Caenorhabditis elegans: one gene and its partners. The protein of the gene in region 3 interacts with the protein of the main gene of each other region in a pairwise test. Each region holds a gene or a part of one and is shown on either strand. Other genes may lie near its edges.

Region 1 (7,832 bases), on a different chromosome or scaffold from region 3:
TAAATTCAAAAATTTTCAGCTTAATGCTACGATTCGTGGACGATGTCTTCGATCCTGAGCAGGCTGCAACGATAGGTTCGTGGAAATTCCAGGGATTTTTGGATTTTTTGATTTTTAGGCCAAAAAAACCCTAAATTTATTGTTTTTTAGGCGTGGATTTCCGCGTAACTTCAATGGCAATCGACGGAAATCGTGTAAAACTCGCAATTTGGGACACCGCCGGCCAGGAGAGGTTCCGTACCCTCACGCCGAGCTATTATCGTGGAGCACAGGGCGTAATTTGCGTGTATGACGTCACTAGCCGCAGCTCCTTCGAGAAATTGAATCATTGGATGCAAGAAGTCGATACTTATTGCACAAATGACAATATTATCAAGATGATGGTCGCGAACAAGATTGATATGGTGCGAAAAAGCCGATTTTGTTCGATTTTTGGCCTAAAAAATAATTTTCAGCCAAATCGAGTGGTAACCCGCGAGGAAGGCCTAAAATTCGCAAAACGCCACCGCACACTATTCATTGAAGCTTCTGCGAAGACTAAGGAGGGTGTACAGTGCACATTTGAGGAGCTTATCGAGAAAATCATTCAAACGCCCGACTTATGGGACAATGACCGCCCGTCTTTTCGGTTGGGACAACCGACGGGCTCCAGTGGTGGCGGCGGAATGTGTGGATGCTAGGAAATTCTCGCGGAAAATTCGTTCATTTTGACATAAAATCGATATTTTTACTGTAAAATTCATCAATTTTCACCTAAAATCCTGTTTTTTTCATGTAAATTGTCAAAATTTGACCTAAAATCCTGTTTTTTCCATGTAAAAACGTGAATTTCGGTTTAAAATCGCCAATTTTCCCTCAAAATCGCCGTTTTTTCCATATAAAAATGTCCAACTTTGGCTTAAAATCGCTGGTTTTTCATGCAAAGTTTATCGATTTTAACCTAAATTAGGCCTTTTTCCATGTAAAAATGCAAATTTTCCCCTAAAATCGCCAATTTCCCAGCAAAATCGCTGTTTTCGATGCAAAATTCATCAATTTTCACCTAAAATAGCCCGTTTTTTTTCATGTAAATTGCCAAATTTTGACCTAAAATAACCATTTTTTCATGTAAAATCGCCGATTTTGGCTTAAAATCGCAAATTTTCCCCCATAATGGCCGTTTTTCATGGAAAATCGCCGATTTTGGCTTAAAATCGCCAATTTCCCATCAAAATCGCTGTTTTCGATGCAAAATTTATCGATTTTCACCTAAAATAGCTATTTTTCCCTGTAAAAATGTCAATTTTGACTTGAAATTGCCAATTTTCACCTGAAATCCCCGTTTTTCATTCAAAATTTATCGATTTTCACCTAAAATAGCTATTTTCCATGAGGAAATGTCGATTTTGGCTTAAAATTGCCACTTTTTCATGTAAAAATGTCAATTTTTCTCAAAAATCGCCGTTTTTCGTGCAAAATTTATCGATTTTCATCTAAAAAAGCTATTTTCCATACAAAAATACCAATTTTGGCTTAAAATTGCCACACTTTTTCATGTAAAAATGCCATTTTTTCCATGTAAAAACGACAATTTTCCCCCAAAATCGCTGTTTTCCATGTAAAATTACCAATTTCGGCTCAAAATTTCCAATTTTCATGTAACATTTATCGATTTTCACCTAAATTAGCCATTTTTCCGAGCAAAAATGCAAATTTTGGCCTAAAATCGCCAATTTTCCCCCAAAATTGTCGTTTTTCCGTGTAAAATTCATCGATTTTCACTTAAAATAGCTATTTTCCACGCAAAATTTATCGATTTTTACCTAAATTAGGCCCTTTTTTCATGTAAAATGTCAATTTTGACCTAAAATCGCTGGTTTTTCATGCACAATTCATCGATTTTCACCTAAAAAAAAAGTTCTTTTCCATGTAAAAATGCCAATTTTGTCTTAAAATTGTCAATTTTTCCCCAAAATTGCTGTTTTTAATGTGCAAAATTCATCGATTTTTCCGCGAAAAATCCCCGTTTTCCATGCAAAATTTATCGATTTTTACCTAAATTAGGTCGATTTTCCCCCAAAATTCCCCCATTTTTCATGTAAAATTCGTCCATTTTCCCCGCTAAATTGTACAAAAAACCACCCGAAAATCCCCCAATTTCACATAATTCTTGTCAAATTTCACACATTTTCAGTGCCTTTAAGCCCCGTTTTTTTGCTATAAAATTGCAACATTTTTCCTGTAATTTATTGGATTTTTGTGTTATTTTTTCTCTCGTTTTCAGCGATTTTCAGCATATCTTCATCGATTTTTTGCAGATTTTCAGCTATTTTTTTATCGATTTTTTTGGGAGATTTTTGTCATTTTTCACCTAATTTTATTGATTTTCAGCCTAATTTTGTGTGTGCTTTTACCCATTTTTCTATTATTTCCATCATTTTCCCCGAAATTTTATAGATTCTACCTATTTTTCAGCAAAATCTCATTTTTCAGCGATTTTTCATCATTTAAGCTATTTTTTATCGATTTTCACCGAATTTTCAGCTATTTTATCAGAAAAATCTCAGTTTTTTCCGGCAAATTCACTCAAATTTCGCCTATTTTAGCGAGGAGCTCTTTTTTCCAGCATTTTCACCGAATTTTCTTTTTTTTTCGTAAAAAAATCACCAAATTTCCTCATTTCCAACCTATTTTCTCCATTTTTTCGCGGTTTTTCCCGAATTTTAAACAATTTTTCGCCAAAAAACCCCAAATTTCTTCATTTCCAACCTTTTTATTCCATATTTTCGCCATTTTCTCGGGATTTTCAGCTATTTTTTCCAGAAAAACTCCTATTTTTTCGGCAAATTCACTCAAATACCGTTTATTTTCTCACAATTTATCGTTTTGGAGCTATTTTTCCAGCATTTTCACCGAATTTTAAGCAATTTTTTAAAAAATCACCAAATTTCCTCATTTTCGTCCAATTTTCTCCATTTTTTCGCGATTTTGAGCAATTTTTTCCAGAAAAACTCCAAATTTTCTCACTTTCACCCTATTTTTTTCCATATTTTCGCCATTTTGTCGGGTTTTTCAGCTATTTTTTCAGAAAAACCTCCATTTTTTCGCGATTTCCACCGAATTTTCAACGATTTTTCCAAAAAATCGCCAAATTTCCTCATTTTCGCCCAATTGTCTCCATTTTTCCGCGGTTTTCCCCTGATTTTCGGCTATTTTTTTTTTCAGAGAAACTCATTTTTTCGCGATTTCCACCGAATTTTCAGCTATTTTTCCATTAAAAAAACCCATTTTTTCGTGAATTTCTCCGAATTTTCGGTTTTTTTTTTCAGAAAATTCGGAAAAATTGGAATTTTTCACTGAAAACTCTGAAAAATTCAATAAAAATTGGATATTTTTACTAAAAACTCGGGAAAATTCGTGAAAATTGCCGTTTTTCACGTGAAAATTCGAGAAAAATTGAAAAATGTGGAATTAGTATCCAAAAATGCTCTCGGAGCCCAAAATTCAGGAAAATCCTGAAAAAATTAACCAATTTTACTCAGAAAACTGCAAAATTTTTTTTTCAGTTTTTCTCGCAAAAATGTGCTAAACTCTCAGATTAAAATTCAATTTTCCGTGGCAAATGTGCTCTATCGGTGATTTTGGTGTGAAAATTCCAAACTTTTGCATTAGAAATTACAAAATTTTGGAATTTTCCACCCGAAATTGCTCACAGGAGCACATTTGACCACTTTCCCGGGGAACCTCTGCCCAAATTTTCAAATTTTTCCATCCATTTTCTCCGGATTTTCAGCTCTATTTTTTAAAGAAAATTCCCAATTTTCCAGATGAGTGATCACCAGGATGGCATGAAACTTGAAGATATTGAACGCCAATTTTTGGACGTTGCTCAACGTGAAGGAGGTCTCGAAGCGATTCAGCCGACCACTGGACCACTGGAAAATGAAGAAAATCTGAAATCATCGACTGGTGGTGGTGGTGGAGAGGATGATAATGATCGGAAAAAGAGAAAACGATCGAGAAGTAGAGATCGCGATACGAGAAGACGCTCGAGAAGGTGCTTAAGCTGGAAAAAATTGCATTTTTTGACGGAATATTCGAGAATTTTCGTGGAAAACTCGGCGAAAATCGAGTTTTCCGCTAGAAAATTGACCCAAAATCGGATTTTTAGGAGGAAATTTTGTTTTTTTTTGGCCAGAATTACGCTGAAAATCGCTTTTTGCATGAAAAACGGCTTAAAAATGACTTCAAACCCAGAAAATCAACATTTTTAGAGCAAAAATTCGAGGATTTTCGTCGAAAACTCTGCGAAAATCGAGTTTTCCGCTAGAAAATGGTCTAAATTTGAAGAAAATTGACCCAAAATCGGATTTTCAGAGCGAAATTTGATGATTTTCCATGAAAAACACTACCGAAAATCCCATTTTTCCTGCCAAAAAACTCTTTAAAAAATCGATTTTTGCTTGAAGAAATCCACCAAAATTTTCATTTTCTTTGCCAAAAATCTATGAAAAATCGATTTTTTCACAGGAAAAGCGGAAAAGATGCAATTTTAGCTGAAAATCCACCGAAAATTCGCATTTTTTACTTTGAAAAATCGCAAAAAATCGATTTTTCCTTCCAAAAACCTCCAAAAAATTGCAATTTTAGCTGAATTTCCACGGAAAAGTCAAATTTTCTGTCCAAAAGTTTGCAAAAATTCGATTTTCAGTTGGAAAATTGCGTTTTTTGGTCAAATTCCACCGAAAATTCCCATTTTTTAACCTAAAAAGTTGTAAAATATCGATTTTTCCTGCCGAAAACCCCGAAATTTTCAGTCGTGGAAGCGAGAAATCGCAATTTTAGCTAAATTTCCCACGAAAATTCCCATTTTTTTAACCTAAAAAGTAACGATAAAATCCATTTTCCTGTTCAAAAACTCGCCAAAAATAGATTTTTTAATTAAATTCCACCAAAAAAATTCGCATTTTTCCGCCCAAAAACCTCCAAAAAGTCCCAATTTTAGCTGAATTTCCATTGAAAAGTCTAATTTTCTGTCCAAAAAACCGCAAAAAATCGATTTTCCAGTGGAAAATTGCGTTCTTTGGTCAAATTTTACCTAAAAATTTTGAATTTTTACAATAAAAAGTGGCGGTTTTTACTCAAATTGTACTGAAAAACGCAATAAGAATGGTTTTTCTGTCCAAAAATTTGCGAAAAATCCATCTTTCCGCCCAAAAACCTTCAAAAAATCGCAATTTTAGCTGAGTTTCCACGGAAAAGTCAAATTTTCTGTCCAAAAGTTGGCGAAAAATCGAATTTCCAGTGGAAAATTGCGAAAATTTACATTTTTAACTTAAAAAATCGATTTTTCCTTCCAAAAACCTGCGCGAATCTGACAAAAATTGCAATTTTTCTGCATGAAAACTCATTTTTCTAGCCAAAAAAGTGCGCAAAAATCGATTTTTCCCCTGGAAAATTGCGATTTTAGCTGAAAATCACTGAAAATCCGCATTTTTTAACCTAAAAAATCGCAAAAAATCGATTTTTCCCGCCAAAAACCTGCGAAGCTGCCAAAAATTGCAATTTTTCTGCATGAAAACTCATTTTTCTAGCCAAAAAATCGCGAGAAAATCGATTTTTCCCGCCAAAAACCTGCGAAACTGCCAAAAATTGCAATTTTTCTGCATGAAAACTCATTTTTCTAGCCAAAAAATCGCGAAAAAATCGATTTTTCCCGCCAAAAACCTGCGAAACTGCCAAAAATTGCAATTTTTCTAGCCAAAAAATTGCAAAAAAAATCGATTTTTACACTGGAAAATTGCGATTTTAGCTGAAAGTCACTGAAAATCCGCATTTTTTAACCTAAAAAATCGCAAAAAAATCGATTTTTCCCGGCAAAAAACCCCAAAAACCCCCCATTTTCAGTCGTGATCGTGGAGAACGTCGTGGTGGTGGAGGTGGAGGTGATCGTGATCGTTCTCGATCCCGTGAACGTCGTCGAGGCGGTGGTGGTCGTGATGAGCCGAGACGTCGTGGAGGTGATGATGAAGCCCGTTCGCGCCGTGAGCCGGAGCCCCAGAAGCCTCGTGAGCCCAAAAAGTACCGATTCTGGGATGTTCCGCCGACTGGATTCGAGACAACTACACCGATGGAGTACAAGAATATGCAGGCGGCTGGACAGGTTCCACGTGGATCTGTACAGTCTGCAGTGCCCGTTGTTGGTACGGAAAAATGGAATTTTTCGCCTGACAATTCGGAAAAATTCGAGAAAATTGGCGGTTTTTGCCTGAAAATTCGGAAAAATTCGAGAAAATTGGCAGTTTTCACTGAAAATTCGGAAAAATTCGAGAAAATTGGCAGTTTTCACTGAAAATTCGGAAAAATTCGAGAAAATTGGCAGTTTTCACTGAAAATTCGGAAAAATTCGAGAAAATTGGCAGTTTTCACTGAAAATTCGGAAAAATTCGAGAAAATTGGCAGTTTTTGCCTGAAAATTCGGAAAAATTCGAGAAAATTGGCAGTTTTCACTGAAAATTCGGAAAAATTCGAGAAAATTGGCAGTTTTCACTGAAAATTCGAGAAAATTCGATTTTTTCACTGAAAATTCGGAAAAATTCGAATTTTTCATCGAAAATTCGGAAAAATTCGAATTTTTCATCGAAAATTCAATAAAAATTGGATATTTTTACTAAAAACTCGGGAAAATTCGTGAAAATTGCCGTTTTTCACGTGAAAATTCGGGAAAATTTGAATTTTTCACTGAAAAATCGGAAAAATTGGATTTTTTACTGAAAATTCGGAAAAATTGGATTTTTTCACTGAAAACTCTGAAAAATTCAATAAAAATTGGATATTTTTACTAAAAACTCGGGAAAATTCGTGAAAATTGCCGTTTTTCACGTGAAAATTCGGGAAAATTTGAATTTTTCACTGAAAAATCGGAAAAATTGGATTTTTTACTGAAAATTCGGAAAAATTGGATTTTTTCACTGAAAACTCTGAAAAATTCAATAAAAATTGGATATTTTTACTAAAAACTCGGGAAAATTCGTGAAAATTGCCGTTTTTCACGTGAAAATTCGAGAAAAATTGAAAAATGTGGAATTAGTATCCAAAAATGCTCTCGGAGCCCAAAATTCAGGAAAATCCTGAAAAAATTAACCAATTTTACTCAGAAAACTGCAAAATTTTTTTTTCAGTTTTTCTCGCAAAAATGTGCTAAACTCTCAGATTAAAATTCAATTTTCCGTGGCAAATGTGCTCTATCGGTGATTTTGGTGTGAAAATTCCAAACTTTTGCATTAGAAATTACAAAATTTTGGAATTTTCCACCCGAAATTGCTCACAGGAGCACATTTGACCACTTTCCCGGGGAACCTCTGCCCAAATTTTCGATTTTTCCAAATAAAATTCTGTAAAAAGTGCAATTTTGCCAGATTTTTTGCTTCAAAAGCTCAAAATTACCGTTAAAAAAGTCAAAAAATAAAATTATTCCAGTTTTTGGTTGAATTTTGATTTAAAAATCGGAAAATAGTGTGCAAAAATCTGACAAAGTTACGAAAAAAAACTAAATTTTTGCCCTGATTTTGATTTTTCAGTGCTGAAAAACTGTCGAAAAATCAAAAAGTGTCAATTTTTATCTAGAAAATTCGAAAAACTTCACTGAATTTTTGAATTCTCTCGCTGTTCCGTGGCAAATGTGCTCTATCGGCGATTTTAGGTCGAGAATTCCGAATTTTTGCATTAAAAACTGCAAAAATTTGGAATTTTCCACCCGAAATTGCTCACAGGATCGCATTTGACCACTTTCCCGGGGAACCGCTGCCCAAATTTTCAAATTTTTCTCATTTTTTAGGCCCATCAGTGACTTG
Region 2 (7,231 bases), 2.5 Mb from region 3:
AGGATTTAAATTTCCAAAAGGAGTCGGGCTGAATTTATTTTGATGAATACGGAAAAAACTGCAACGTGCAATTTAATTGAACATGTTTCACCTATTGTTTTAATTATGCTCAAAAAGAAAAAAAATAAAGTAAATTTTTATTCCTTTTTTTAAAATAATACTTTTGAAAACCTCAAACGAAACGCAAAAAGCAATCATGTTTCAAGGGCACTCGAGATGAGCCAAACGTTTCTATGCCACGCAAAAGCCAAGTCAAGTCTCGTTTAAACACGTGTGCTCACTATCCCTGCTCCCTTTTCGTATTTTGTCTGCACCTTTGCAACTGCCAGTCTCACTCGTTTATGTTTTCGTCCTTCTTTAAATTTAGTATATTGGTTTTTTCCCATTGATTATCTTTCTAAAAAAACGTTTTTTTGTTCAGCCAGGCATGGCTTTTGACCCAGATCAGCCACGATATGATCAATCAACATTTTACGGCCGACTGCGGCATTTCGCTGGAATGACAGATCCACTGATTGCATTTTCTTCAACAACAGAACTCATTACTGCATCGGAGTTAATGCAAAAATGCAGGTATAATTTTTTTAATATTAGGCTGTACACGTAAAACAAATTGAATTTTTGATTTAACCAAAACATTTATTATCAGAAAAAGTTAAATTACATATTACAATAGCTGTATTTTTTCTTAAGTATTTAGAGTGAAATAACGGATATAAGAGCTTTAAGGGTCTGAGTTTGAAGTAATTCAAGCAACATTAAAAATTTCACAAAATTTGTGTTAAATACAGTTTTGTAATATCTTTGAAGAAATTTTTTCAAAAATAAAAAAAACGTTTACAGAGAGAAGAAGCCAGTGCCGGCAACACTTGAGGAACTTCATCGTTCGCAACGTCTGTGTCAATCAGCTTTTCATCCGGATACTGGAGAACTTCAGAACTTTGCTGGAAGGATGTGCTTCAACGTCTGGGGTGGTACAATGCTGTGTGGTGCAATGATGATCTGGTAAGTGAAAAAGTATTGCTAAAAGTAAGCTAAAAGGTAAAAGTAAGTAAAAGTATAAAAGTAAGTAAACCAATTACTGTTCCAGGTACAAATCGACGCCAGCTGTAATTTTCTGGCAATGGGCAAATCAGTCATTTAATGCACTGGTCAATTATACCAATCGAAATGCAAAGAGCACATTGACAACAAAAGACTTAGTTGTATCGTATTCTACAGCAGTGTCTGGAGCACTGGCAATGGCAATTGGGCTGAAAACATATTTTGCTAAGAAACAGAGCAGTCCTTTGGCTCAACGATTAGTACCACTGGGAGCCGTTGCAGTGGCTAATGCTATTAACATCCCTATGATGCGTCAGAAGTGAGTACTTATTAGAGAATAATCAGTATTTTTTAGTTTCAACCAAGTTTTTAAATGTTTTTAATCCGAGGTTAACTTTGTAGCCCTGAATCTGAAAGCTTTGAAATTTAGGAGTACAGAAATTTAAAGTTTGCTTTCTTATCAGTGATTTATTTTGAAACCCATTCAAAATTAAAATCAAAACGTAAAACTCCTAAAATCATTCCGCTTTTGACTTTTTTCTTATATGCAATAAGTTATTAATAATGAAGAGAGGTCAATGAAAAACTGGATTTTCTAAAATAAGGCTGTCTATGATGTTGCAGCTGAACCATTATGGTATTTTTATTTTGTAAACTGAAGACCATCTACTTTTGTATTCAACTAGAAACCGTAAAAAAAATTCGGAAATGTGTTGACCTATAAATTGAGGTTTTTCACGTTATTGTTGGCATATGGGTATAATTTTATGAGTTGAATTTAAATAGTGGAAATGTTGACTCTTCAAAAAGTTCTTTAAATCATTTTTTTAAAGTGAACTCAAAGAAGGTATGACTGTCACTGATGCCGATGGAAACAACGTTGGAGTTTCCCGGTTAGCCGCAGCTAAAGCCATCTCCCTGGTGGTTCTCTCCAGAAATATTATCGTTGCCCCATGCATGAGTGAGTTTAGCCGTTACTCTTTTCCTGTCATGCTTCATGCCTCATTTTAGTCCTCACTCCTGTCATCATGGAAGGCTTGAACAAAGTGGCCTCATTCCGGAAGCATATCAACAAACTCAACATTCCAACTCAATTGGCTTTAACTTTTGTGATGTGAGAGAGCAGTCATATTTCTAGACAACAAATGTGAATTTTAGTTATGGTGCAATGATTCCTGTCGGATGCGCTCTCTTCCCTCAGCAAAACTCTGTGAAGCTTTCAACATTGAAAAGATGGGAGCCCGAAGCCTTTGAAAAACTGAAAAATATCAAGGGAGATCGAGTGTACTTCAACAAAGGATTATAAGCGATTTATGAGCTTTTAGTTAACTAAACATAGATTTCAGCTTAATTTATTTCCGTGCAAATTGGTATTTAGAATGATTCGTTGTAGACATTTCTTGAATTGTGCAATTAATAACATCTGTGCAATTGTCTACTTATCAGTTTTTAAAAATTCCAGCATAATAAATTTAATCATAACTAAACAAAAATATATTTACATTTTATTAAAATGCGTGGTTTTGTAACAGTATTTTAGAAATATTTACAATTTGTGATGACAGAAAAACATGGAAAAGCAAGTTTCAGAATCAAAATGCCCAGGTAACAGCAAAGAAAAAGTCGTAATTACATTCAGTGTATAAAGCTATATTATGTACATAATTAATTTAAAATTACCTAATCGTGAGAGCAAATCGCGATTAGATGTGTTGAATTCAAAACTGTAGTAGGAATGTTTTGAGTATTAGGAATATTCAGGAGACAGTTTGAAAGATGACAATTTGGAGAGAAGGGAAACATGGCAAAATTATTGTTTATTCGAATCTTTTTGACAAGATGCAAGAAGACTCCGGAAGAATTTTGCAGAGAATGTAGTATTGTGAATCAAAGGGTAAAAATGCCCAATCTCCAGCACTGCTGGAATGTATGTACAGTGAAATGAGGTAAGTGGAACGTTAAAATTTTTGTTTGGAATTATTGACGATGATGTTTGATTAGTTTCCGGCAAACAGCAAATCTGAAGACAATCAGTTTTTCTGGAAGAAATTTCCTGAAAAAAATACTTACCCTACTGCTGCTCCAACGACAAAGCTGAAGATGTTGGTGACTAAGAAACCAAAGACTACGCGAACGTTGAAAAGCGAATCAGATTCGCATGGCAAGTATTGGTAGAGCTCTGGCTCGGGAGAGTTTGGCGGAGTGGTAAGGTTGGAGCCATATTGAACCATACGGACAGTCCTGCAAATTTTGTTTTTTTTTTCAACACAGAATAAAATCGGTATGGTTTGAGCAGGGGTGTCGACTAGCAATTCTACAAATTGAACCTTGCAACATGTTCTTCCAATATTTTCAGTAACATTTAGGTATGGAATATAAAAGTATTTTCAAAAAATCTCTTTTAGAAAATTTTCAATTAGCAAACATATTTTAGTTTAGATTGAAAGTTGAAAATTACTGAAAATAGTCCGACAAACTATGTAACTTTTCTCTAGCAGTTTTAATCTTTCAACAATGTATCTGCGTTTTTTAGAATTATTTTGAGAACATGCCATGCTGGCTTATTTTGTAGAACTGCTGGTTAGCAAATGCAGCGCATCCCTGGTTCTAAATTAATTTTGAAGTCTAAATAACTAAGCTTCTTTCAACCCATTAGTAGCTATAAAACTTACTTTGGAGGTGTATTTTCTGGCCGACTGCTCCAATCCCAAATCCAATCAGTATTCTTTCCGGGAGGAAGCATTTCTCTAACCAACTTGTACTTTACTTGTTCTAAGCTCTCGAATTCCACGTGAGGAGATTGTGCGATTGAGACTGGGCTCAGCCTCGAATCCTTATCTTTTTCATCAATGATCACCATATTAATATCGACGCTACTGCACAAACTGGTACGGCTTGGTGCCAGTTCCACCCACGATTCTGACATACCTGAAGCGTTCAAGAACATGGGAAATTTAAGTTGGAGTTAGTGAAAAGTGAATAGGTGTTAAATTTGTAAACTTGCAAAGATGTGTGTACTTTCAAAAAATCAAAAGCCCAATCGGTCACATGAGAATTCATCTAACGATTTGCCTAGGGCAAAAGTGTAATGAAAAAAAAGTAAAACAAACCAGGTGTACTCTCGGTCAATGGGGTGATAAATGGGTTTGAGACGGCTTTTGCGGATGGTGTTGTCTGTTGAGCCGATGACTGCTCCGTCTGCTGTTGCGGTTGCACAGACTCATCCGTCTTCTCGCCGGACGCAAAGTTGATCTTTCTTTTGATATCGAGCATTTTGGGTTTTGCAAACTCAAGAAATGAGGACATTGTTAGGAAAGACCCGTCTCTGAAACATTACTATTATACTATTATTACCAATTGTGTTTACAAATATGAGAAGAAATCGAAACTTGTAAAATTGTAAATTAAGAAATAGCGAAGTAGTTACGGGTTAACAATAAATACGAGTTGTTATAGCAACCCAACGATGCAGGTGTTGCTAGGTCCTTCATATCTACTCTACAAAATCAACAAACAAATTCAGAGTCTACACAAGCAGATGGCGTAGTTTATTTATAAACGTTTTCTCCAATAAAACAGAATTGGGGGCAAAAGTGAAGGAGGTCCGTTAGACAAAAAATTTCATAATACCTTTTCTACAGAGCAAATACCCGGAAAAAAAACTGGAGAGACGAATGAAAATATTTTGCTTTTCACAAAGTCGTTAAATTTTACTTTATTTTGAAACCTCATTCCGTCAGCCAGTCAGTTATTTATTTATTTGCTTATTTACATTTGTGCTATCTGAGACGCTCTGTGTGGTGTACTGCGAATGTTTGAGACGCGATTGTTTTGTTTTTCGTGGTGGGTGGACGACAAGAAAGATGAGATGACCGGATTGAATCGATTTAATATGAGAACAGAATAGTTGTGAATTAAAAAGAGCAAAAGCCAGAAATGTATTATATTTGTGAGCAAATATATATTCAACTGCCAAATAGGAAAAGGTTTATTTGATGGATTGGAACTAATAAACATTTGTCGTATTCGGCTTTTATTATTTGATAACCCTTGAGTATTTTTCAAATAAAGCATAGGTTCATAGCTCTCTTTAAAGAATTTATGAGAATGTTTTTTAAAAAATATTGCAACCCATCTTTTTTTCTCAAGAAATTCACAAAAATTGGTTCTCTCTTCTAATTTTAGAACTAAATGGAAAAGAGTGTAGCTAATTAGATAGTCAGAAAACGAGATGCCTGCTCACGCGTGTTTTTTACTCATTTTCACTACTTTTACTCACAAACTTGCTTTCAGCGTGATCAACTGTGGTTTTGAGACGGGTGTTTTTCGCAACACGTGATGCGACATAAAAATTTGAAATTAAGAAAGGCAATTAAAATAACATTACTGTGGAGAAATGAGAAGAGTAAAAGAAACAGGGCAAATTTATGAAATATATTTAAGAAAAAAATCAACGTTATTGATGTCAGGTGGCTGATTTTTGAGATAAAAGAGTCGTGGAAAATATGTACTATTCCGAAATCAGATTCTGAAAAGTTTGAACCAACTGAAAAAAGGGGGAAATGAAGGTTCTCAATCCTAGTAAAAGCCAATAAACTTGCGGCGAATTTCAGGAAATCAGAAATTCGAGGAAAATGGTAGAATTGGCACCCAGCCAGGCATATTATTATGTCGCGTGATACACCAACAAACACAGACGCTCTCTGTCTCACTTTTCGCTCGCATTTTCGCTTTTCCGAAGTACATGTGACCGTATTGCCAACAAACCAGATATTGTTTCTAAAAAAGAAATGGAAAATGTAGATGAGAAAATAATTATTGAAAAACTAGGTAGAAGAACAAAACTGATGCATACAAACTAATATGAAATAACTTAAGAAACTTCTTTCCACAAACTTGTCTTACTAATTAAATAAGAATCTGATCAGATTGTGAACTTCTTAAATGTCATGTTGGCCAGAATTTTGCACGGAAATGTGATTGAATCGAAAACCGAGTTGACAGGCGGGCACCCATCATGAAAAATCAAAAAGTTCACATGATACACCTCACCACTTTTCGAAAGTCGAACTTGCAAGTGACACCGGTCACAACAATTAAGACAAATAAAACGAATAGCAAATTACTAAAGAAGATTTGGGTCGCAATTATCTACTATCTACTCTATCCGCCAATATAACAGGGTTGAACAGGCGAATGTGATGCAATCATATGATGTTCACATGTGGATCGTACTTGTTGCACGTAGACCAACATGTTTTTCAAGAAACACAGGTGTAGATTGATTGAACTGAAATAAGATTATGCGTGGTACAGAAGATGCAGACAGTTTGACATAAAAATGGTTCTATGGGTAGAAAAATAGATAAGGAGGTGTTTGATTGATGTTTGTTTTATGAATGATAAACAAACTTTGTTCTGAGGATTGGAATTGAGCTTTTGCGGATAGACAAAAAACAAACGATAATGCATACCACCTTTATTAGTTTTTCAAATAGTACTTCTTATTGCGAAAATTTTGAGACTGAGGTGGGTTTTTTTTTGAAAAAGCTGAAAAAATATTCGAAATCGACAAGAAAGTTAGAATGGCCAAACCAAAAAAAACTGGCTTCACTTCTTAATTATTCTTCTCAAGATACACAAGAAATTTTTTTGCGAGAATCAGGCATAGGAAAACAGAAAAGTCACAGGGGGGGCTCTTTCTCTTTTCCCGGCTGTTAGTCATATGACCACCACGTATTTACCAAAAGGAGGCCGAGGAGGGGAACGCCGTGAATAGAGAACGAGATACGGAGAACACGAATCGATGGGTGGATAAAAGAGAAGGGGTGGAAGAAGTGGTAAAAGGGTGGTGGTTCACCAACAAGCACGTCAAGACAGGCAGCAGCCAGGAATACGTGGTAAATCATGTGAGACCGCATGCAAAAAGTGCACATGACCAGTCGCACGCAGGCGGAAAAGTTCATAAAGAGCACGCGCAATGAAGAGACGCAGCGGGGGAGACGATCAGCTGATGTTTAGAATTGGATGCGTATGTAGCCGTGGAATGGACACACACACTCGGACTTATTGGAGATGCCAATTGGCAGGCAGCTCTTGCCAGCCGAGACGGCGCTCTATTCGCTGAATAATGAGCGTTACTCTCTTCTCTCTTTATAGTTGAAACTATTCGATAGAGAAAACAGAG
Region 3 (10,785 bases):
AGCAATTTGTAGATAACAAGGTTAAGGTTATTACTTCAGCTTTTTTTTAAATGTGAACAATTAGAGGCATGCAGTAGGATCATTGTAGATTACCAGTTTCTTATTGTCGAGATTTAAAAAATCTGATAGCCATTCCATCTTTGCTTCCATTAATTGAAACGTCATAGACTGAACTTAGTATTGTTTTTTTTTCACTTGAACTAATCGAAACGTTAGGATTTTAATTGTTTATTTAAATTTTGAGACAATTATTCAAAGGAAAAATAAATCAGAACTAGAACAAAGAAAATTATGATTAGGCAATTGGACGGAGGAATTTGAAAAATGATTAGGATAATATTCAAATAATACGAGTATGAGCACTTTTGATTTGGAGAAGGGTGACGGAAATGTACATGAAATGCCTAAAAAGCGATTTAATCACATTGTGAGCAAATTTTTGTTGTTTTATCTTTATTCATAAACATTTTGAAACGGGGAAAATGAAGAGGAAAGTGTAGATTTTAACATATTAGGTTATTTGAAATCCTGGATGGATGCTTGAAATACAGTTGCGGAAGAGGGAATAGTATCGAGATGGTTTCATGGTTAGAAAATGACTTTGAAATTGGCTAAAAGCGGGGAAACGGGAGAGAATGATGGTTCTCATGACGACAACAATCACACGACCATAACAATTATTATTAATTTTTTTTGATAAATGATTATTTTACAAATACATATTTTAAAAAATGGAAAACGATTGATTCGAGACCAGTTTACCAATTTGTCAACCCTGGCTTATTTAAGGTCATGAAGTAGATCTGGCAAGACCCTCCACCCTTCGCAGACGAGAAGAATACCTGAAGAAAATTAGAAATTATGATGAAGATACGAAACTTTTTGTGTACACTTATGGGTACTTATGTAATGCGTATTATATTTCCTCACAAAAAAACCACATTTTTAATAATAAATCCATTAAGATTAATTTTGATATGCACTATCATTATGAGGCACATAAATGGAGTTTTCAAAAAAATCATACGAACGGAATAATTTCAACAATCTTCGTAAAGACAAAATATTAAAAAAGCTTACTTTATCATTTCTCTCACACAAGAATTTCAGCTTCTGAGCTTTCTTGTGCATAAACACTCCATCCAAATGGCCAGTGTCAACGGATCGAATCTCAATCGCCTTGTTGCCCCATCCCATAATCTGACCCGTTGAAATGTACGCCACACTGCTTGGCATTTCTCCCCATTGCAGGACTACATTCTTTGTCATCCTTCCGTACGTGTTAACATATACTCCCTCATCTGAAATAAGAATAGATAAAGAAGTGAATACTATTTTTGAAAACTCACTGTCATAACAGAGAAGGAGTTGCATTCCATTGGAGTTTGGAAGAACAACTATGCAATGTGGAGTCGTAGTTTGACCGCTCTAAACAATTAAAAATAAAAGGCTAACATTTAAATGATTCATCTTTGTTTTCAATTCTTATTCTGAAGTTATCATACCTGTGCTGGCGTATAAATATCATAGACCGCTGCAGAATCCAAATCAATTGCATGGAATCCACCTGTCGATCCATAAAGAACCTTGAGTCTTGCATTGTCTTCAACTGTCAAGTCGACAATCAAAGGAACATGACTCAAAGATCCGAATGACTTGAAACTCATGAACTTATGGTATGGCTTCGGTGCCCACGCATAAATCTCAATTGACGACTCTAGACCAACTACCAAGAACTTTATCCTTTCATAGCGAACAATTTTGAAATGAATGGCTCCTTGCAAATCTCCAACATTAACCCATCCATTTCTTTTTTCAGTCGTATTGGCGCTTCCAGCACCCTATAAGACATAAAATTAGATATATCCAAAATGTTTATAAACCATACCTCTGTTCTTAAAATTTTCTGACGGAGCCAGCTCAAATAATACACTCTGATTCTCCTTTTTCTTCCGGAAATTGTTGCGAGAATATTTTGTCCCTCGAGAACCGTCATCTGATCAAACCTTCTCCGACTGATGAGCGGGTAAACTTTTCCTTGTCCACTTCGATCCAAAAGCATAAGTCCACTGTCTGTTCCAATAAGCAAGTTAACTCCCCAGAGAGCTGCACACAAAATCTCTCCACTGAACTTTTTCTTGTACTTCCTGATTTCTGGAGCATCGTTCTCAGCTGGTGTTCCATTAGAATTTGGTGTCACATTAACTTGAACTTGGTTAATGTCTTGCGGTCTCCCTGGTCGATTTACTGTGCCACCACCGGCTCCGGCGCCACCACCAAAATATCCAACAAATGACTTTTCGCGATCACGATTCGAAAATGAATGCTGAATTGATGAACGGCTGTCAGAGTTTTGGAATCCATTTGGTTGCTGAAATCAAATCATGTTTTATTATTTATTAAAATTTATCTTCTGACAAAATATAATCACTTCAACAAAAATTTGTATTTTGATTTTTGATCATCAAAAATATATCCAAAGACATTGAAACAATAAAAAAAGAACCGCAACAAAGAAGAACTACATATCTTTCGAAAATTAAAATAACTGAATAACCAGCATCAAAAACAATAAAACACAGGATGATTTGTTTTCTGAAAAGATGACCAACAGTTTAACCAAAGGGGGAATAAATCGGAAAATCACAACAAATTCTGTCATTTCAAATCGAGTAACTTACATAAAAACTTCCAAATAGAGAGGCGCTCTACATAATTATAAAATTACATGTTTTATCGTTCAAATTTATGGTTTCCACTACATATATTATTCTCAAATCAAAACACTCACCTCATCTGCACGATCGTCACTCATCTGGCGTGTTTGGTCATTTATTTGACGGCGGAGTTGTGGCGATTTGGGCAAGAGATCTGGCAGGGCGCCGCGCGAGCTTGAGGCGTTCTGGAACCAAATAAGATGTTTCACGAGTGGTATAGAGCCGTCAACACTATGTATAACATTGGCCGAGAGAAACCAAAAAAAAATAGAGAAGGGACAACGTACAATTGGTTTGAACATAAGGGGCTCGTTGCCTTCCTCGTTGTCCGAGTCGCTGTCGTCGTCGTCAAGAGAGATAATTCCAGGGCGAATCTAGAAAATATTCTGTTTTTTAAATACGTTTTAAATTGAGTTGTGAAAGCTTATCTCAAATTTTCCCGGCGTCGTGGCAGTTCCTTTTATTTTAAAAGCACCTTTATGTTATTGCCAGTTATAATTTTTTGAAAATAGCTGCTACAGAAACAGTAGTGTTTTTATTTTTTTAATTGGCTTTTTCATATTTATTTAATTTTTAAAGTGAGCATCTTATTGATATTATCGATTTTTGAAATGCACCAATTTAGATAATTGAAAAAAAATAAAGAAACGAGTATATATTTTCGCTCATCTCACACTACCAACCTCTGGAATTTTCTTTCCCTTGTAAGCCCCATGGCCACTATTTCCATTTCCATTGCGACGCACATCTGACACAAGTGTATTCTCGCCATCTGTCGGTGTTGGCGGAAGCGGCTTATTCGGGCCGCGCAGTGTGCCTTCTCCGTTCATCATAATGTCCTTCAAATCGTCCCACTCCGCATCTGCTCCATTATCCAATTCACCCACGTCAATCGTGTCTGTGATAGACGAGATCGATGCCTCACGCGGTGGTGGCGCCGGTGGCGGTGGGCTCATGCTCTCCTCGCGACTGCGTCCATTGTGATGACCGCCCATTTTAGAAAGCTCACTGGCGAGCACGTCAAGATCTTCTGGTTTTACATGAGTGATCAGAAGGGGTTCTGACATTTTTCGAGACTGTTGTGGAGCAGGTACACTTGCAGAAACACGTGCAATCGGCATAGCGTGGTGAGCCTGACGTTCTCTTTCCCGTCGCTCTTCTCGTTCCGATCGTCTTCTTTTTTCATAGTTTGCTAAATCCGCCAAGTGTGGGGCTGCAGGATGGGATTGTTGTGGAGATCGCTGAAAATTTATTTACGTTATTTAAAACTTTTAAAACTACACTACAAACACTTTTAAGCCAGGTAAACAAACATTTTTTCTGTATAGCCTCCATTATTTTTATTATTAAAAAAAACCTCAACTGGTTATTTGAATCGTTCATACCCTACATGCTTCAACTTTGTTAATGTTTGTTATTATTAGTATATTATTAGTACTGAATGACTGTTTAGACAATATTAAAAGGAAGGTAAGAAAACAAAACCTGATGATGACTCACGGGCCGTGGCCTTGATGCTGGCGAATGACGTGGACCATCGGCAGCTCCTCTAGATGAAACAGCCCTCAGTTTGACTTCGGATGATTCTCGTCTTGGCTCAACGTATCTGAAGGTTTCAAATTTACAATGAAACTATTAAGAGAACAACGTCAAATCTGAACTGTGAAAAGTATTGAGTGAAAGTGGTGACATACCGAGACTGCTGATATTGGAATGGAGCTGGTGCTGGTTGCTGGGGCAGTCTCCTCAGCTGCTGAGCACCTGGTTCTGCAAAACCACGACTACTCTCTTGCAATTTTTGAAAGCCTTTACGCAATGTGTTATCCATTGGAATCATTGAACTGCTCTCCGAGTCATCTCGAATGCCCATTGAAGGACCACGATTGTTCGGAGATGGTTCATCATCTTCACTGCCGGAATACTCGTAGTCTGCATCATCCTTCTTCACCCGCCGATTTCGGTCAATATGCTCTTTGATTGAATGCCGGATCGTTTGCTCATGTGGTTGTTCTTTGATAAATGGATGACGAAGTAGGGCTCCAGTGTAGGGCCTTTGATGGTAATCCTTCACAAGTACAGTCTCTGAAATTTAAAACTTGACCTGCATCATTTAGACTTGAAAATATTGTTTGGAATGTACTCTATTTGCCCGTGCGTGCTTCCTTAAAATTTCAGCAAAAACCCATTTGCAAAACTGTTTCAAAAATACGAATAGCGACACATTTTTACAATTTATTGTTTCATATAATCGGACTGAAAAATTATCTGCAAAAAAACTCACCAATAAAAGTCTCGAACTTCTTGGTCCACTTCTTATTTCTTTTCAACTTTGGCGGCGGATTTCTTGGAATTAAAAATAACGCTCTCATCGGATGCATATCGCACAACGGTGGATGACCTTCCGCCATTTCTAATGCCGTGATTCCTAAATTGGATAACAATAAGATTTTGAAACTCCATGAGTCATTTTCCATTTATACAAAACCCCTGTTTGGTTTTTTTTTGCTTTTTTAATGCTGTTGTACTACGAATTTTGTGCCCATTTACACATAAATGCAAATAATGAAAGAAAGCAGACACAAACACAACGAAAATGTCCGGAGGGAGATATGTTGAGGGAATTGAAGGAGACGGAGCAAATATTGGAATAGTGAGAAAAAACATCAAAATAGTATGTTCAAGAACAGACTATAGCTCTACTAGAACACTTTTGGAAATTAAATGACGTTGAATATGTATATTAAAAGTTTCAAATTAGAAAAGAACTTAGTTTTCAGTGTTCATTTAGCTAAAGTTTTCCAAAAAATTAGTTTCTCGAAATAGTAAGCTGATAGCCATATTTTTTTGTTGTCAGCTTTCTAGAGAAGGAAATCAGCGTTAGTTTTCTGCAATTTACCTCAATTTGATTATTATTGTAAGTAGAATTAAATTAATAAAATTGAGAAATATATTTTGGGTGCGTTGCTAAATTCAGTGTTTAAATCAGTGAAATGCTGATACCAAGCCTTATAAAAACTTTTTATATTACACATCGTCATTACTTACCCAAAGACCATAAATCCGAACGTGAATCATAAGTAGCTTCAGGGCTTTCATCACATGCAATAACTTCGGGAGCCATCCAGTATGGTGTTCCAATAAATGTGTTTCTTCTTCCAACTGTCTTGTCAAGTTGTGCAGATACTCCGAAATCTACCAGCTTCACCTCAGCACTGTCCGTAAGAAGCACATTTTGACCTTTTATGTCACGATGGATAACTTTGCTTTGATGCAAGTGGTAAAGTCCCTATAAGAAATACATTTGAAAATGTCTGAGAATCGGTAAAGACAAACCCTCAAAATTTCTCTACAAATATATGCAATCCATTCTTCTTTCAAAGAGCCTCCCTTTGTGTTTTTTACAAGATCGGTGATAGAACCACTTCCACAAAACTCCATTACCAGCCATAATTGATCGTGTTTTCCGGTCGAAGAGGGCAGCTTTTTGATGAAAGCACCATAATAAGTGGCTACGTTCCGGTGGTGGGAGTGCTGCAAATCAATTTGATTCTTCCGTGTAAGACCTCATCGATGTGTTCTCCTTTTTTTGAAATTTCTTTTTCACACTATTTCAAAACTGTCTTCAAAATAGCTTTCGTTTTTAAGTTTTCATCAATTCATACAAATATAATTTATAAATGTATTTATCAGAAATTAGATATTTCTTTTTTTCTTTTTAACTGATTTAAAATTCTGGACAACTTAATAATTCGAAAATAGGTTTAATTCCATTTCTCATATTTGGGGAATTTTGAAAGGAATATTTTTGTTTAACCAAAACACATACCTTCTTTAGCATATTAATTTCTAACTTAATTTCATCTTCTTCATCTTCGTTGATATTCATAATTTTGATTGCAGCAAGTTGCGCTGTTTTAACGTGTCGACCCTTATACACTTGCCCGTAAGTTCCATTTCCAACAACCTCAATTAGCTCGAAGATTCCAGCCGGGTCCTGAAAAAAATCATTGTGATTTCCGTGTTGTTTGGTGTAGTTTCGCATTTTCTTTCCCCTACTCAGCTGTAAATATTTCTGAGAAGAGAGCAACATGATTTTTTAAAATTGTTACACCACACACACACACTCGAAGAAAGAAAGTGGGACTTCGTCTGTGTGTGTGTGAATGTTGCGAAATACACTTTTTCTTAGTTTTGAGACAAAAATTTAAAGCTGACAAAAATTGATTGTTTCATTCAACTTCAAAAGGTAGTTTTCTATAGAAACACCATTAATTTCACGGGCGATAACCCAGACTGAATAGAAAAATTAACATTTTTCAGTAAATTCATTGTGCGCATTCTACTTGATGTATGGGTGGTCACGAATACTCACCCTTAGAGAATTCAAATCAATCTCGTCGAGTCCTGATGACGACATGGTTTTGGGTGCTGTGAGCGGCTTGGAGCAAGCCGACACTTAAACCACACAATGACTCCTTGAATTTAACTTGAATCTGAAAAAAAAAACACTTATTGTAAATTACAAGAAACAGGAAGTATAACAAAACAGAAAAAAATTTTCAGATTATATCAAAAGTAACAAAAACAGAAATATATTGTTTTCATCTAAAGACTCAAAATAAAATATTGTTTCCAAGATTATTACGAAGCAACCATTCTGTTTCAGAAAAAAAAACACATGTTGTGATAAAGAAAATTAGATCGATAAGGAATGCATCATCAAAGACGTCGGAGAAAGACCAGTGGACGGCACAAGGAGGACGGACGCGTCCAGCATTGTTACACAGCCGGGAAATAGAGGAAAAAAATGAGAATGCACAAATTGTTTAAATGTGTTCAAAAAGTAGAAAAGTCTTAAGTGTTTTTTCTGCAAAAACAATATATTTTTCTTATAATGTTGGAAAGAATTATCAATTTTTAAGTTTCAGACAACCGTTGAATAGGATAACTCATATTCTGTTGCTGCAAAAAAAATTTCCTAAAAATGCTCGCAATTTTAAATTTTTCTGATAGCAATCAAGACGTGCAAATTTGAATTGACAAGCGGTCAAAAGACATCATCGGGTCAAGCAGACAAGGTTGTGAAAGAGAGTGAGGGATGATCGAAGGCCGCAAGAAATTCGCCTTGATTCCGAAAAGAAGGCCTCCGACGTCCGCCTTTCTCTCTCTCTCCATTTCATTCCCCCGCTCGTTTTCCCGAATAATGATGAAGGACGGACGAAGAATGAAGAAGACGCTGGTGGAGAAGAATGGAAACAGCGCCTGTCCATTCCCAAAGAAGACACACAAAAAGGCAACAGCAGCATCACATATAGCTGCCGACTGAGTGAGAATAGCGGGATGCCTCTGTTTGGTGATCTACATTTATTATATTGATTTGAGATGAAATGATGCTTATCTTCTAAATAGATATTAATGATGGTGAATAAATGAAGGGGGATCGAGTAAGGGGTAGATGTATCAATTTAACGAATATTCTCTCCAATGGCCGATTAACAATGATTTAGCGATGGTATTTGTCTCTACGACCACTAGATCCTAGTGACGCTCATGGCTAAAAAAAACAAGGTTATGGCACATTGAGGTATATTTCCTATTTAGACGTTGCAAAAAGAAGGAGAGGTTTTAAATTACAAACAAAAACTATTCTTGTGGAAACGTTTTATTTAGCCTACATAGTATCCATTTCGGGAACAATTTTTTCAGAAGAAAAAAAGGATTGTATCAAAAAACCATAAAATATTAATATATTGCCTGATTTTTTTAATTTACAACATGAATCTATTGCCAAAATTATTATTTATTGAAAATTTTGAATTGCTCACAACATGTTCTGATGTAGAATTCATATTTTGAAATATATGTTAATTTCAAAACACGTGTTTTCATTTAAAAGTTTTCCATGTCCTGCACCGAATGCTTTGCTTTGACAGCTTATAAGCTATATCTTTTTCTGAATATCTTTGTAGCTTATTAATTTAGAAATGGTAATTTACTATGCCTAAAAATGAAAAAAAAAACTCCACACGTTTTTATTTAATAATCAATTTCAAAAAATTAAGGGGAAATAATACACAAGTACCATTAATTTTTATAGCTTATGATACTGAATTAAAATATGAAGTAGCAAAATAATTACATGGTGTGTAAAAATGATCAAGAAAATACGACAAGTTTTGATTCGCATTTCGAAGTTCCCGCAACTTTTTTTATTTTCGACAAAAAACAACAATGTGAATATTGCCATTTTTGAATTAAAGAATTTTCAGAGACATTCTTCAAATGAAAAACAATGAATGCGAATTTTTTACAGTTACGTTTTAAAATAGACAATAATATAAAATTATTTTAGTATAACATTGAACTAAAAATACAATTTTACTAAAAAATCCGGTCTGAATCACTCTTATAAAAAAAAAGAAAACGTGAGTCGGTACATAACAATAGATCGGAAATCCCCTTTTCCCTTGTCCTCCTATTCTCATGAGCTTGACCTCATGTTGTTCTAGAAGTGTACTACAGCCGCTCTCAAAAAGTAGCCCAGAGGAAGGAGTCAAAATTATTCTTGCTCTTTTTTCCTTTTTACTTTGCCATTCTTGCTTAAGGAAGAGAACGAAAAGTGGAAAAGAGCTCAGAATACATTTTCTGATGAATCGGAGAAAAGGGAAAAGTCATAGATAGAGGAAGTTGAAAAGCTGTAGGACAAAAAATATGGAAGAATAGGGAGAAAAAAGTCGACGAGGAAGATAAGAAACAGAATGAAAAACGACCAGTGGCGCCAGAGTGTGTATGTATGTGTAGTGAAACAGCAATTAGTCAGCGTTCCCAAAGGTCTAGTGATGACACCCAGTGGCGATGCATTGGTTCTAAAACCTCTCCGATCCGCCTTATCTTGTTCTTTCATTTGACACGAAAAATAGGAGAAAAGAGCGAATTGAAAATAAAGAATAAAAGACTGGTCTACTTTTTATCAACACAACTTGATAACCATGACCTCCAACAACGCGCGTCTTGGAACAGAGATGGACTGGGGGTACACATGGTGATAGTGCCGATTTTATCACCGCATTAGTAGGGAATCAGATAAAACACTTCGAAAAAGAACAGAGCGGAGGATGGATGGTTTTCTGAATATTTTTCACCTTACAAAACGATAGTGAATCACAAAATGCAAATCAGTTTATTCATTCGTACTAAATGAAATCATATTCACTGTTTCATTTTTTCACTTTTTCTGTATCATTCCCATTTCTTATCAGCTGTTGTGAAGAACTTGTGGGAAGAAAGGGCGTAGGAGTTTCTTCAGTCCCTCAACACCTCAATCCGCATAACAAAAAGTTCAAAAAAATTGTGAAGACAGCTGACATCTTAAAGAAAAAATGAAGCTGAGCTATGATTTTACTTGAGCTTACAGGTTTTGGAGAGAATTCTCGGAGAAGAAGGGAACCTCAACGGGACAAAACATGAAGATTCAATGATTTGAAAATAACATCCTCTATTATAATAGATGTAAAATTTCTCAATGCTTGAATTGAAAAAAAATCTTTATAGTTCAAGACTCTTCTTTGAATTACAATTCAAAATACAATTTTCGATGTAATACCAATACTTAAACTTCCCAAGAAAACTATTCCTTACTAAAAAGTTCTCAACTCTATAAATTGATCAACCAAGGGCATACAAAAAACTCCTTCGGGACCAAAAAGATCAACACTTTGGCTCAAAGAGCCAAACAATGTGCCCACAAGCAGTACATTAGAAACAGCAGCTTTTCCTTCCTAAAAACATACACCCACTTTTTTTAGAAGTCCCATTCTTTCCTATTTGCTTCTCGTGCCAGAATAATATATCAAACAATTTGAAAGCCTGGAGGCGCACAAAAAAGGTTAAGTTTGAAATACTTGAACAGAAAAATTGGAATAAATTTGCTTGGGGCTAAACAGCTTTCAGTTTGGATTACTTATTGTTTTTCAAAACGACAAGTAATAATTTAAACGGAGAAATGTATTCAGTGAACAATTTATTCGCGGAATAGAAAAATTAAAGGATAACATGCAATGTGAATTCA
Region 4 (6,439 bases), on a different chromosome or scaffold from region 3:
AACTATACAACTATTAACATAAATATAAAATTCCGTTGTAATCAGGAATACTCTTGCCAGGCGCCTATTTTCCTTTGAGGAAACCATCAAGTCCTACCTCAAACCCAAAAATTTTCAGCAACTACTTGTGGAATCTCTGAAACGATACGAAGACAAATTAACAATTGTTCCTCCTTCTCGTCGTGAATGGTCTTGGATTAGCAGTTTTAATTTTGCGTATTCTCTTCTTTTGACGATCGGTGGTGGATTCAAAGTTCCAGCTACTGTTGGTTCCCAGGTAATTTCCTGCAATATATTCTACCTCAATTCAATTTGTGTTTTTGTTTCTAGATATTTGCTGTATTCTATTGTCTAATTGGTATTCCATTGTTCTACAGTACTCTGATACTCATCGTCTGTCGATTGGTATCTCCAGTTTTAAAGGTTAGTGGAAGAAGGTTATATTTTTGTTGTGAAATAATATTTCAATGACATCACGAAAAAGCTTAGGCATACATAAGTATTTATTAAACAGGACCATGACTTACTTTATTTGTTCGGAATGTTTTTGAAACCAGGAAGACTTCTGAAAATTTTTTATTGTTCGAGATTGTTAGAATTTCATAGATCCCAACTGTACATGTGAAATCACACGGTACCCGGTCTCGAAACGACGATTTTTTGTAGAATGCGAACAGGTGCGCGCCTTTAAGGTTAATAAAAAATTGCATTGATGAAAAAAATCTATTGGAACATTAACATATAAATTTTAACACATCGTGAGAAAGACTAGGAAAAATCTACGATATAATTCCACAGCAACAAGAGTTTGCAACTACAGTACTCTTTAAAGGCGCACGCCTTTTCGCATTTACCAAATATTTGTCATGTCGAGACCAGGCACAGTATTTTTCCACAAAAAGTCGTATAGATAATACGTTTTCATTAATAATTTTATAAAGATGATTACATTTTTAATTTTAAAAAGAATAAGGTTTCAGTGGCCATCACTAACTCGTTCGCGTCGTTTCCTGCTCATTCTTGCGGCCTTTGGTCTCTTTATTCTCTGGGCAATCCTCATTGGCCTTTGTCTCTATTATCAGGTATCTTCATCATATCTGAGTCTCTTTGAATCTTATTGTTTTTAAGGTGATCAATGACTTCTGGCTTAGCATTTTACATGCTTTCACTGGATCTCTTACTGTCCAAATTCCAAGCCCCGCACAAATTACAACTTGCGGAATCCTGTTCTTGAACTTTGCTGCTACCATTTCGGTTTCTCTTCTTATCCTCATTCTACTTGTCTCGTTTTCCGTTTTCTTCCCAAAAGAAAGTGAGTTCAATTAAACCATTAGTAATTTAAATATCCCCAAAATATATTTTTCTTCAGTGCTAATTCAAGAAGTTGACAATGGAGTCGAGGAGAAGCTGGAGCGCCTCACACCACCACCAAAGTTCCAGGTCATCGTAGATGAAGCTGGAGAAAGCAAGCTTACCTCTGCCTAATATCTTAACTTTTGATAATTTATTTCGTGCTTATTGCTTCTAGATTTTCAATTTCAAAACACTTGTTTCTTTAATGCTTATGCAACGATTCTGCCACTTTAACTTTATTGCAGTGAGAGGTTGGATAAAACAATGTTAAAACTAACAAATACCTGGAGAGGGGAATCCGAATTAACTTAAACGGAACGATAGGAAAACCCCAACACCAGGGAGATGATGAGATTCTTTTTTTGATGAGGGAATTATCCAATATTAAGAAAAATCAAGATGGGATCAGCTTAGAGACAAAATAGAATTGTCGAAACATCGGACAAGTACATTTTTAATGGATTTGGTCAACATGTACAGATTGATGATAAAGATGTTGATTTTGAAACGGGGAATTTGAGGAAGGATGAAGTGGCATTTGTTGTTGGGAAGCAACCTATTCGGCGGCGACAGCTGGGGCATCTCCAGAGGCTGCGACGTCAACCTGCAAGGGAAATCGAATTATTGACAATGACATTGAATATTAGTCCCTAACGGAAGATGAAGCGATTCATAAAGAATTCATCAGAACTGCTCGTGTACATCGCACACATTACGCCCCGATATATCCCATAATTAGTGCTAAGTCGCATACGCCTATCCTATATCTTTTTAGAATGCCTAATTAGATTCCTGCCCTTCGTTCTCACCTCATCCTCAACCTTGCTTTTCTTGGTCAATGGAGCATCCTCCTCTGCGTCGGCGACTGGAGCCTCTTCGTGGGCGCTGGACACACGCTTACGATCCTGCAAAAATAAAAATTGGTCAACAAAAATAATATATAACTATCTTACGTTGCCGTTGGTGTCCTTTGCTTCTCCGTTCTCGACTGCCTTATCCTTATCGGCCTCTTCAGCCTCAGTCTCATTCTTCTCCTCGGTGGCCTCAGCTTGAGTCTCCTCTGTCTTTTCACCGTTCCTACAAAAATAGTATAAATTGTAGAGAAACGGATTAGTGCAATCTGTTGCCTGCTCACTACCCTACGCCGTATTTGTTTTCACCATTGCCGCCTGTCTTCTTTATGGCACCATGCCTTCTGCACACTGCACCAATACACATACTATGAACAAATAAAAGGGCATAGAAAGAAATATGAATGACCCCTCAGTTTTTCACAGAACAGTTTCTACCATTATGACCGTCCCACATTATTCACGTCTTACGAGTGACCTCGAAGGAAAACACCACTCAACGCCCGCGCGCAGATGGATACAAAAAAGTGGCTCGCGATTTCCATAGAATTGACCTATATACTACAGTTTTAGAAAAATGCACAGGTAAATCGCAAATTATGAAACAAAAACTCACTGCTCACTGGTCTTCTCATCAATCACAACGACATCGTCCGATCCAGTCTCGGTTGGCTTCTCCTCGACTGGTTCGACAACCTCTGGCTCTTGAGCGACAACAGTCTCGGCAACGTCGGACATTTTTCTGTAAAACAAATGTTAATGTAGTGCTGGTGAATAAATCTGAATGAGAAATAGAAGAAACATTTGAAAATATCATTGAGTTTTGAGAAAAAAATATCGAGTTATTGTATTAAAAATCTGCTACTGAGGAAAAAATTTTTTTTTAATTTAGATGTGTTGTCGTTTCAAAAACACAAACGATGTTCTAGAAAACTTTTTCCTAGGAAGAGCGCGAACAACTCTATCGCGGAAAGAGACATCTTATTATTTGGCTCTCGCGCCTCACAGGGCCCGGCGCTGCGCGCCCGTCCACCGTCGGCCTAGTCTGTGCCTGACACTCACGCAACGCTCACTGGACAGCTAGAGGCGGCCGGCTGGTCGAAGGAAGCGGTGTCCTACTCACACTCCTCAACAGCGGACGAAACGAAGAATGAGGAGGGGAGGAGAGCCTCAATGCGATGGCCGCGAGTTTCGAATTGCCTCGTCGCCGGCAAGAGAACGAGAGGACGACAACGAAACGGCCCCGCCCCAAACGTCGGCTGCGCAAGAGCCTCTCGTCGACTGCTTTCTTGGCACTGTGCCAAATTCATGCTTCGTGCGGTGTGAATTAATCTAAACAGTAATTATCAAAACGCGAGATTTAGTAAACATTAACTGTACAAAACTAACGAAAAGGGGCAAATACACACACACCGACAAATGTTCGACGAGATTTTTCAAGGAAACATCACTCGCAGGCTTTCAAAATTCGCCTTTTTTTCGGTTTTTGTCCTAGTTTGCAACTCTTTTCAATTTAGAGAATAGAAAACGATAAGCTTTTTGTTTAGAAAACTCGAAAATTTGCGTTCTATTTCAATATATGAGTATAAAAATTAGCTCGAAAATCTCGTAAAAGGTTTTTTCTAATAATAATGACTATAAAAAGTACAACGGCAATTTCCAGAACAGTAAAAATAACAAAGCAGTAAATTAGCCCAAAATTGCGTTCGACCTTCAAATTCCCCAATATTGTACAGTAGTTGAAGTAATCGTGGTGAGACCTGTGTGAATAATACCATGTGCCTTTAAATATTTTTAAAAAATGAAGGAAGTCTCCGCTCGGTTTTATTCGGGAATTATTAAAATCAGAACAGCTCTGAGGATGAACAAATATTATAAAATAGAAGTGGTAAATGAACAACAGTAAACGGTATAAAAACACAATTTTAATCCTTTGGAGATCCTGGAGACGGAGAGCGAGACACACTGCGATTGCTGCCATCTCGGCTGTGACTTCTTCCACGGCTCACGCTGCGCTTTCTATCTCCGCCGTTCTGAAACCATATGATTTTTACTATACAAGCACATAAATGAATTACCTTTGGGGGAGATCCACTTCGGGTTCTGCTTCGATCTTTTGCTGGCAGTGGTGAACGAGATCTCGACGCTTCACGCTTCCTAAAATATAATTCTTGCATTTAATAGAGTCGGAATCTAAAGGACTCGAATACGAAACCGATATGTTTGCGCGAAGTTGTCTGATTCAAAGTTAGGGATCTCACTCTTTTAATCGAAACAGCGGCTTTTGGTAACTGTGGGGACTGAACGAGAAGTGAATTGAAATGTATTGATAGTTGACCCATACTGTGCTCGAACTGTCTCAGCTATGTGTATGCCATTGCGATGTGGGCTTGTAGGTGATATTGATTTCTCATTGAACTGTGGCTAAAACGGTTCGTGATGTGGCACCCTTCCAAAACAATCCACACATTAAAGTTAACTTACAAGTCTCTTTTCGGGCTCGGCGAACGGGATTCGCTTCTGCGACGACTTTCACGAACTGGTGATCTGGATCTGGAGGAGCTTCTGGAACGGGATCTGCGAGAACGTTTGCGATCACGAGAGCGGGAACGTCTTCTTGGTGGAGTACGTGAACGACGTCTAGGAGAGCGGGAACGTCGTCGTGGTGATCTCGATCCATGACGGTCATTGCCGCGTGGTTTTCCGCGAGCCATTTCCACGACAAGGCGCATAGAGCTGAAAATAAAAAGTTAGAACATTTTTAATTTTGGTTTATTATTTTATTACCTTCCTTCCATGGTTTTTCCATCCAAATCATGGCATGCGTCTTCAGCATCACGAGAATCTTCAAAATCGACAAAGGCAAATCCATACTTCATTGAGATGTTATTAATTTTGCCATATCCTTTTAAGAATCGCTCAACGTCGCGTTCGCGTGCATTGTATGGAATTTTTCCTAGATAGAGGCGCGGCATTTCTGGAAAATCACTTTATATTCAAAAATTAATTTATTAAACGCCGTTCATTAAGCCCAGTAAAAAAAACACATGAATTCGAGAAATCAATCTCAATTTTAAGAAGAGAAAGTCCTAAGTCAAGAAAAAGAAATTCTATCAAAAGCGCACACATGAAAACGAGTGCGACCGTACTCCTAGTCGTTGCGAGACCACTTGGCATGCCGCCAAGTCTTTTGCATTTTCGAATGTGCTCAAAATGACTGGATTCCAGTCACTGGAAATCTGTTTTGAAACATTTTTCCTTGATGCAGATGTTTTTATTTGTCATAACCTCTTTCTTATCAGTTAAAAGTTATTTTTATCGTCGTATTTTCTATTGAATTCCATCGTTTCCTTTTATTCTTCTATAATTGTATGTATTTCAGGTAGAAAAATGAAGTTGGTCAGATTCCTGATGAAGTTGTCTCACGAGACCGTCAATATTGAATTGAAGAACGGTACTCAGGTGTCCGGTGAGTATTTTTTAAGATTAATTGTCTGCTTGAAAGTGTTTTAATCGAGAAGTTGAGTTATTAACCAACCAAAATCAATCTTTCACGAATTGCTCGACATTTGTTATAGTGTTTTTATATTAGGATACATTTTCAAAGTCATAAATCCGAATAATATTGTATAATTTTAATTACTGCAAAAACGTAACTAAACAACTAAATCGATTTTATTTAGGCACTATCATGGGAGTCGATGTTGCGATGAACACACATCTTCGTGCCGTCTCAATGACAGTTAAGAACAAGGAGCCAGTCAAACTCGACACGCTTTCAATCAGAGGTTATTAAAAATCATATTTGAATAAATATAATTTAAGATTTTCAGGTAACAACATCAGATACATCATTTTGCCGGATCCACTCGCTCTTGACACCCTTTTAATCGACGATGAACCAAGAAAGAAGGCCCGTGCCGCTCGCGCCGGAGGTAGCTTTAAGCGTCTTTTCGACAGATTATTAATATTTTTATTTCAGCTTCACGTGGACGTGGTCGTGGTGGAATGCGCGGAGGAAGAGGAGGTCGTGGTCGCGGACGCGGAGGACCACGCGGAGGCGGTCCACGTCGTTAAGCTATCATCGGGTCATAGCAAATTTGAGTATCGAACGTCCTATACTTTTGTATCACGTTCCTCAAGTTTAATTCACATTTTGTTCCCGTTAAAGTTGCTGACTTTTGTTTAAATCTTTTGAAATAATTTATTACGGCTTTCCGAGTCAACACAAATTT

What was found.
Region 1: the proteins of mig-15 (region 3) and uaf-1 interact in a two-hybrid assay, tested with the Caenorhabditis elegans proteins (one large-scale study listed by BioGRID).
Region 2: the proteins of mig-15 (region 3) and dct-1 interact in a two-hybrid assay, tested with the Caenorhabditis elegans proteins (one large-scale study listed by BioGRID).
Region 4: the proteins of mig-15 (region 3) and T28D9.1 interact in a two-hybrid assay, tested with the Caenorhabditis elegans proteins (one large-scale study listed by BioGRID).

What each region holds. Positions count from the first base shown.
Region 1 is NC_003281.10:1,072,530-1,080,361, reverse strand, and holds the start of uaf-1 (Splicing factor U2AF 65 kDa subunit), read left to right. Parts: upstream 1-3,806; coding exon 3,807-4,036; intron 4,037-5,886; coding exon 5,887-6,182; intron 6,183-7,816; coding exon 7,817-7,832. Other genes in the region: Ras-related protein Rab-18, read left to right, coding at 20-75, 151-404, 456-680. UniProt on the Caenorhabditis elegans protein: Necessary for the splicing of pre-mRNA. Binds to the polypyrimidine tract of introns early during spliceosome assembly.
Region 2 is NC_003284.9:7,951,494-7,958,724, reverse strand, and holds dct-1 (NIP3 homolog), read right to left. Parts: upstream 4,370-7,231; 5' UTR 4,351-4,369; coding exon 4,155-4,350; intron 3,973-4,154; coding exon 3,717-3,972; intron 3,286-3,716; coding exon 3,115-3,285; intron 3,065-3,114; coding exon 3,022-3,064; 3' UTR 2,539-3,021; downstream 1-2,538. Other genes in the region: sfxn-2 (Sidoreflexin), read left to right, coding at 428-573, 844-1,005, 1,091-1,363, 1,878-2,005, 2,056-2,158, 2,203-2,350. UniProt on the Caenorhabditis elegans protein: Initiates apoptosis in a BH3-independent mechanism possibly by recruiting ced-3 to mitochondria and other cytoplasmic membranes. Has a role in lifespan and tumor growth. Required for the induction of mitophagy under stress conditions.
Region 3 is NC_003284.9:10,421,441-10,432,225, forward strand, and holds mig-15 (Serine/threonine-protein kinase mig-15), read right to left. Parts: upstream 7,135-10,785; coding exon 7,090-7,134; intron 6,712-7,089; coding exon 6,544-6,711; intron 6,249-6,543; coding exon 6,051-6,248; intron 6,004-6,050; coding exon 5,763-6,003; intron 5,143-5,762; coding exon 4,999-5,142; intron 4,800-4,998; coding exon 4,412-4,799; intron 4,324-4,411; coding exon 4,203-4,323; intron 3,959-4,202; coding exon 3,401-3,958; intron 3,092-3,400; coding exon 3,005-3,091; intron 2,903-3,004; coding exon 2,792-2,902; intron 2,709-2,791; coding exon 2,682-2,708; intron 2,372-2,681; coding exon 1,889-2,371; intron 1,842-1,888; coding exon 1,506-1,841; intron 1,429-1,505; coding exon 1,350-1,428; intron 1,302-1,349; coding exon 1,081-1,301; intron 843-1,080; coding exon 759-842; 3' UTR 215-758; downstream 1-214. UniProt on the Caenorhabditis elegans protein: Involved in cell migration and signal transduction. Important in several developmental processes including epidermal development, Q neuroblast migrations and muscle arm targeting.
Region 4 is NC_003280.10:6,488,909-6,495,347, reverse strand, and holds T28D9.1 (uncharacterized protein), read right to left. Parts: upstream 2,947-6,439; 5' UTR 2,943-2,946; coding exon 2,821-2,942; intron 2,564-2,820; exon of another isoform or gene 2,431-2,563; coding exon 2,307-2,430; exon of another isoform or gene 2,259-2,306; coding exon 2,163-2,258; exon of another isoform or gene 1,958-2,162; coding exon 1,910-1,957; 3' UTR 1,570-1,909; downstream 1-1,569. Other genes in the region: twk-49 (Potassium channel domain-containing protein), read left to right, coding at 119-277, 331-423, 981-1,082, 1,129-1,312, 1,370-1,485; T28D9.11 (uncharacterized protein), read left to right, coding at 3,355-3,540; rsp-5 (putative splicing factor, arginine/serine-rich 5), read right to left, coding at 4,130-4,237, 4,283-4,361, 4,689-4,940, 4,992-5,179; snr-3 (putative small nuclear ribonucleoprotein Sm D1), read left to right, coding at 5,595-5,673, 5,888-5,992, 6,038-6,139, 6,187-6,281.